Bombyx mori: one gene and its partner. The protein of the gene in region 2 binds, or shares a complex with, the protein of the main gene of each other region. Links are inferred from orthologs where the notes say so. Each region holds a gene or a part of one and is shown on either strand. Other genes may lie near its edges.

Evidence for each region. Proteins that work in one complex are often made in the same cells at the same time.
Region 1: the proteins of transcription initiation factor TFIID subunit 6 (region 2) and transcription initiation factor TFIID subunit 9 are in contact, whole or in part, in a crystal structure (PDB 1TAF), measured with the Drosophila melanogaster proteins. The link is inferred for Bombyx mori from reciprocal best matches to the Drosophila melanogaster genes Taf6 and Taf9. Residues at the interface, in NP_524161.2 of Drosophila melanogaster: Gly18, Ser19, Ser20, Ile21, Ser22, Glu24, Ser25, Met26, Ile29, Ala30, Ile33, Val35, Ser37, Leu38, Ser39, Asp41, Ala42, Glu45, Leu46, Asp49, Val50, Ser51, Lys53, Leu54, Lys55, Ile57, Val58, Gln59, Ala62, Gln71; in NP_523391.3 of Drosophila melanogaster: Lys20, Asp21, Val24, Ile25, Ser27, Ile28, Leu29, Glu31, Leu32, Val34, Glu36, Tyr37, Glu38, Arg40, Val41, Gln44, Leu45, Phe48, Thr49, Phe50, Tyr52, Val53, Thr54, Ile56, Leu57, Asp58, Lys61, Thr71, Ile72, Asp73.

What each region holds. Positions count from the first base shown.
Region 1 is NC_085109.1:1,357,170-1,360,987, forward strand, and holds transcription initiation factor TFIID subunit 9, read right to left. Parts: upstream 2,527-3,818; 5' UTR 2,331-2,526; coding exon 1,963-2,330; intron 1,390-1,962; coding exon 1,167-1,389; intron 794-1,166; coding exon 674-793; 3' UTR 604-673; downstream 1-603. UniProt on the Drosophila melanogaster protein: TFIID is a multimeric protein complex that plays a central role in mediating promoter responses to various activators and repressors.
Region 2 is NC_085121.1:11,006,925-11,010,580, forward strand, and holds part of transcription initiation factor TFIID subunit 6, read right to left. Parts: intron 3,250-3,656; coding exon 3,080-3,249; intron 3,005-3,079; coding exon 2,854-3,004; intron 1,686-2,853; coding exon 1,513-1,685; intron 1-1,512. UniProt on the Drosophila melanogaster protein: TFIID is a multimeric protein complex that plays a central role in mediating promoter responses to various activators and repressors.

The DNA.
Region 1 (3,818 bases), on a different chromosome or scaffold from region 2:
GGAATTCAACCTTTAAAATGATCTCATTTTTATGATTATCAAAAAAATATTTAGTACACAAGATCGCGCGGAATCAATTTCAAGTAAGTGATTCCAAACTTTTGCTCGCGAGTGTAGTAGATGACAAGTTCTGTGAATGCATTTTTATCTTACCTACTCTATTTTAATGCCTTCTTAAATGTATGTTAAATCACTGTAGATATCCTGTTCTCATCTAGAAAACTACAACACATAATATCAAATTCAATTCAAAATTTGCACGGCAGCCAAGCTATACGGTCGCAAATTAAAAAGAATCTAGTTGTGCATCAAAACGGTATGAGTTCACCTCCAGATCTTACTTAAATTATAGGGCACAGTCAGACAGTGACTCTTTTAATCTCAGATTCTCTTACTTAAATCTTTCTGTTATTATATTATCTTTAGAACTTTTGGCAAGCTATTTCATTGAAATATGATTCACTTAAAAAAAACAGGAAAAATTCAATTTTTTTGTTGTTTCTACCTACAGTAATAATTAAAATACCCTTAGTCATATAAACCATACAATCTGAGCAATTTGCATCATCAGGTTTTATGGAATTAATCACTAAACAAACAGGATTAAACACATGATACTTTTTAATATCAAAATGTTGATTCCAGGCAGAAAGATCGTGATCCTATTAATTATTTATAGATCATAATCGTCGTCTTCTCTTTTCCGTTTGTGGCTCATTGGCTCGTCTGTCTCCATCTTGATAGGAGCCTGTGAGGAAGGACCAGCTGTCACTCTTACAGCTGGTTTTACTACCTGCAATATAATTCATTGACATTTAAATATTGTGCTAACTATGAAATGTCAGAAATAATGTAAAGCAAATAAAAAATGAAAGATTAAAATTAGTTTTAATTTATAATGTAGATTTCAATACATAATCAGATATAATAAAAAAAAATTGTGACGCAATTTTGATATTATCAAATATAAGTTGACATTTAATTAGACAAAATAGATATTTCGTTTTGTTTATATCATAATATAGATTATCAGTTTTCAACATTTCAAATTATTGTTAGGAAATAAAGAAACCACTTTTTAATAGTTCAATCTGTGATGAATATGATAAAGCATAGTGCTGTCTATTTATCTATTCTATAATTTTAAAATTAAACCAAATTCTTACTTTACTGCTTGATGAAAATTTCAGTACAGGTTTTGTTCCGAGACTGGTTTTTGGGGTGCCCACATTCACAATTGCTCCCGGTGGTCTCTTCATAACAACTGTCTGTTGAGGTGCTTTGGATGTGGTGACCGTTTTTATGGACGGGGAAGGGGTTATCGTAGTTTTTGTGATCACTTTCTTGGTTGCTGGTTTCAGTTTGTAATTACAGGATGACAGGCAGTAACTGGAAAAATGAATATTCTCTGTAAACATGCAGCGATTTACAAGTTAACCATATTAAAAGGCTCTGGGTGTTAAGGGAATCTCATGTTTCACACAAAATTAATCAAAATTATTCCATAATTTCCTTTGTTAGCGGAATTGGTCCATAGTGTATTTCTATTCATCATTTTTACTATTATACCAGGCTCCCAAATGCAACCATTGGTGTTTATGGAGTATTCTGACATTATTTCAGTAAGGTTTGAAGACTTCTTAGTAACAGGCAGTATTGAAGTATCAGTAACTACTTACAAATTGTAATAAGACAATCTGTCACCTAAAGATATTGTTTACAAGAAGACTTTACTGAACTTTGATTGTGAACACAATATTGTTGCAATCAATTCATGGTGCGCAAATTACATACGTGTGGTCTAAAGTGGAGTATTTTTCCCTCAAGTCCGGTGATTGAACCTTGAGCTATTTAAGCTAATCCTGATTTTTGAAGAAATTATCTAAGTCCATACTCACGAAAGATTAATATAATGTGCTGTGAGATATAGGATTAAAGTGTGCTACATTTTCCAATACTTACCGATCCGGAGGCAGTCTTAACCCGCAATGCGGCTTTATCAACGGCAAAGGATTAACATTCTTGACCCTCGCGATCTCCAGTAGCACTTCACGGGGCGGGGGATTCGTGAAGGACTTGTCCAATTGCATTTGAGCTGACAGTCTCACATCATCAAGATCTATAGTTTTCTTTTTTGCGTGGTTTGCAAATATCCTTGCATCATCTAATACTGATGTAACGTAGCGGTATGTGAATTCTAGGAGCTGGTTCACGACTCTCGGTTCATAGTCAGTGATACCTACTTCCTTCATGATGGACATGATGACTTGGGCATCTTTGGGAATGTGCTTAGCTTGACCACCCGATTTGGATTTGTCTTTCTCTGACATCTTGTAGTTTTATTTGTTATTTTAATTTTAGACCGAATTATTTCTGATTTGTTTAAAAATCTTTTTCTTAGTCATAGTATTGGCATACTTTATTTTGGTAACAATGCTATAAAAACAACACTTGTGCTGTGATTGTGACAGATCTATGTTGTTTGATGACGATTGTCAAGTCAATTCAAACTGTCAGTGTCAGCCATTCTGAGCCATTGACATCTTCATTTCAGAACACATTTAAAAGTATATCTCTCTATGGTTGTTGTCAGAACTTGGAAACAAACAAAAAACTGGTGCGCGTATAAAACTTGGTGCACGTGAAAGAAGTGAAACTTCAATTTATCTCGAGAAATAAGATTAACTTAGAAAGAAGTTGTTACCAGTATTCGATGATTACCGAACGAGTCCTTTGGTTTTACAATAATAATATGTTTAGTGATAATTACTTTTATTTAAAATACCGCCTTCTGTAAATAATTTAGAAACTAAACTGTTCACACCGATGGTCTTGCAATGTAGTAGTTAAACGAAATCCAATAGATGTCACTAAATTAAAAAACGACCTAACTCGCTTTGCCCTTTCCCTCTCTCCACGGTTGAGTGGTTCACAAGACGCCCTACCTATTTTCTTACTCTCGCTCTTCCTAAATTGTATCTTTTCTCTCTAGCCGTAACGAATCTGTCGCGAGTTAAATTTCACTCTCAACGCGCCTAAAGAAGTTTTACTTCAAAAAATATATAATGAATTCCTTTTTTCTTATTTATTTCGTTCATCAAACAGCTGTACAGTTAGTTAACAAAACTAACTAAGTAGCTGGTTTCAATATCTCTACTTTCAATACCTTTATCTTTAAACAAATGTAAACGCTTATCCCGCACTGTCTTACGAAAAAAATATTACCTAGATATTAAATTTCCTTTTATGCATTTACATTCAAAACAGAAATCATTTTTCTTATTTATTTATCTTAATTAAAGTACTCAAAATAAAAAGATATATGTATGTATATTATTTTTCGGCAATATTGTAACAAAATGAAAAACTGGTTTGTATTATTTGGTTCATTTAATTTTAGGATTTTCTTAGATTTAGAGAATATTAATATTCATTTATCAACCGTCTATAAACTGTGAATTGAAAAATAAATTAGAATAGATATCCATAATCTGGTTTTTTTCTGCCGCAAAACAGTCAAGCGTTCCCGTTTGATGTTTCTTTGTTCTGTTGGAATTTAAGCAATTGCTTGCCTTTCGACAAGTTACACAAAAAAGTTAGATATCCACTTAATAACAGTCTGGCAGGTTTTTTTACTAAGATAGCCAGTTCTGATTAGCGCCATGTTCAGTTTATTCATTCATTCATGAGACAGTATCTTGGAAGTAGGACTATTTTAACGATGGTGAATCAACAAGAATTGTTTCTAAAGTCACTGAAGGTTGACATGGATTTTGAAGGGTATTAAATAAATAAAACATACAACTATAATAACCATT
Region 2 (3,656 bases):
TTAAGTATGACATGGACAGAAGTAAAAATCACTAAAATATTATAGAAGTATTTTTAAAGCTTTTAAATAAAAACTTGTTTATTTGCGAACTTGAATAAAACAGTATACTTGAATCTGATTTAGATCTGATATATCTATAATATAATGTATGTCTTTGTATGTAATTTATCTATGTAAATCTGATATAAAAAAATGTTCATAGATATTTAATCATTTCACTTGGCTATTTTTGGACTAAAAATTAACGTAATTTTAAATGTGGCTTTCATGAAAAAAAAACATTACATAGGGTAGCATTCCAATCGCAATCTATGTTATTTTTGGAATAAGAGGGTATGTATGCCGGGATTCTGCTGGCCCGATTCTTATGATTATTTTTGCATCGCAAAAGGGGGTCCCTGGACAATTTCCAATTACAATTGGACCCGTTAAGGCTTTATTATTATTATCAGGACAAGACAATTGCCGGGCCCACCCATGATAATATATATTCAATTCTTATAATGACATTATATGGAATCATCACAAGTAAAATCAAAACCGAAAGGTTGCGATAGTAATTCTTCATCAAGAACAGTGTATGATACATTTCTAGTTCATTTTTCGAGGTCCACAATGTGATTGAGTTACAAAATAAACACCATTCAGCATACTGACTAAAGGTAAATGTAGTGGAAAGTGGTTAGCTGATGGTCTGATAACATACCTGTATCAACTGGTACCTATGCTCAGACGGATAGCAGAAACCATGGCCGTTTTCTAATTACAGCAAAAGAGCGCATTATGCGGCATAATGCTCAACTATGCTTCAGCATAATTCGGCAATTAACCATTACTTAATGGTAGTTTTCCAATTACAGAGCATAATGCGACTCAGTGACGCACAATGCCGAATTATGCTGAAGCTTAGTTGAGCATTATGCCGCATAATGCGCTCTTGTGCTGTAATTGGAAAACGGCCCATGTAGCGAAAAAATAATGCTACGGTAATCTATATAAAAATATTGCCAATTTATAGAAGAAAAAAAATTTCTTCTGTGTTTGATCATTGATATTCTTTTTGTTCATTAGCTATTGAAGATCTTTAGACATTTTTTTTGACATTGTTTATTTTCTAAACGTCAATAAGAAATAAAGAAAATGTTATACAGTACCCGGCGATAAATATTGCACATCGACCGTGGGAAAGAGATGGTTAATTTTTGCTTTGTAGAGCGTTATATGTGTCGCACATTACCTAATTGACATTTAATCTCCATAGATACGGGATCGTTGGTGTTTCATCGCACACAGATAACGCTCTACAATAATAACAAAATTAGACGACAGTCTCTTTCTAAATATCGATGTGCAATATTTATTGCCTGGTACTGTACCTAGGTATATAAAATTAATCTAAATTTTTAGGTGTCAATAAATATGCGCGAATATCGACAATCACTGACCGGACATGAGTAATAAAAAGTTCAATAGGAAATCAACAGGACGATTCGTGTATAAGACGTGACTGACTTGTAGTCTTCGGGTTGGTCGGGCGGTTGCCGCAGTTGTCGGACGACAGGGGCCAGGACTTTCAGCAGCTGGTGCTTGAGGTTGCCGGCCGCCAGTCGGTCCGCGCCACCGATACCGCTCAGCGCGCCCTCCACGCGCTCTCCCAACCAACGCACGCGCGGCAGAATGAACACCTGTAAAAAAGGCGTCATCTTACCAGATCTAACATGAATCGCCAGATTATCACGCCTACGCAGGGTCGGATTGAAACATAATACTGCTCCTCGGTACCGGAAAAAAATCTGCTGGTAGGACCTCTTGTGAGTCCGCGCGGGTAGGTACCACCGCCCTGTCTATTCTGCCGTGAAGCAGTCATGCGTTTCGGTTTGAAGGGTGGGGCAGCCGTTGTAACTATACTGAGATCTTAGAACTTATATCTCAAGGTGGGGGGCGCATGTACGTTGTAGATGTTTATGGGCTCCAGTAACCACTTAACACCAGGTGGGCTGTGAACTCGTCCACCCATCTAAACAATAAAAAAAAACCGTGCCAATACTGTAATTTTACCTAAATTTATAATTTATATATTTTATTTTTCAAAATTAGGATGACTAATTTATTGCGGAAACTTTATCATATGTCATATATTTCAAAAACATAAATAAATATATATATTTTTTTCTAACAATTACAAATTTTGACTAAGGGTGACTCATAATTATATTTCATCAAAAAAAATAACTAATTATATTTCTTTAATTATAGAAAATAGAAAAATCGATTATTATTTTAAATCTCCAAGGAAATAAATTGATTAAACCATTTTGATTATTAATTTTTACCAAAAGTGCCAAAATTATAATTGACAAATAATGGATGAATTGAATTTCTTGAATTATCAATTAAAAAGGAAATTATTAATTATTAGAATTAATTAATTATATTGAGCAATCTTGATAAAACTAAAAAAAAAAAACTAAAAATTTTGCCGCCCTAAAAAATATGCCGGCCTGGGCACTTGCCCCGACTGCCCCTAGTGTAAATCCAACACTGCGCCTACGTGTCTGGGCCGCCGGTACACAGCCATCAAATTCAACTAAAAACCCGGCGTGCATAAGTTAATTCACGCACGACAATGTTTAACGCGCCTATGTAGAGGGCGCTGCGTGACGGCGTCAGTGTGCTTAGTGCGAGTTTTTTAACGTTCTCGATGGCGTAAAAGTTAGCTTATATTCGTACAGAATGGGATCTTTTGCATACGTTTGCCACTAGGGGCGCTGTTCCAACTGCATACAAAATTGGGCTAACTTTCACGCTATCGAAAACGTTAAAAAACTCGCACTAAGCACACAGATTACTCACTTTAACGACTTCGGGGCCCAGCTCTGCCAATCCTTGCACGGCTCCATACAGCGACGCGAGAGGAGTCTTCTCCGATTCCTTCATGCTCGCCATAGAAGGACCCGTTTCGTTGTTTGTTTGTGAAGGGCACTGGAGGGCTTTCGCGAACAACCTGAGCGCAAAGAATTTTCGTATAGTAACTACCAGATACATTGTGTGACTTTAAAATTTATTCAAATTAAAATACCTGGTGACTCTCGTTTGTAGATTATTGGTTGAAGTATTGAATGTTTTGCATATCTGAGCCATGAGTCGCGCGGCGAAATCTCGCAGGGCCCAGTGGTTATCCATCTCGGGACGAAGGCACAGCTGTCGTGATACTATGCATGTCGACACGGACGGAATCAACTCGTGTAACTGCCCAAACAATACAATTTACTTATTAAATCTGCAATTACCTATAGACATGTATGAGTATCAAATATTGAAGCGTGGCCGTAGAGAGAATGGCCTATGGACTCTTATGCCATGGTCTAGATTGGACAGATAACATTTTGTCTAGAAAATACGCATCTAAGACGTGTTTACGAATGAATCCTACAGTGCAGGAATAATATTGGTCTCCTCTATGATCATAAAATCTAAACCTCCAATTTTATGATGTGCAACTGCGAAACGAGTGTCAAGACGTATTAGTGGGCATGCACCGCCTTATTTTTATTAAGCAGTATCGTTTTATTCGTCGTTTAAGCGACATTTCGTTTAATACGCGACACATTTAATTTTATCTTTGTAATTCGGTGTATTCGTGACATTTATCTTTG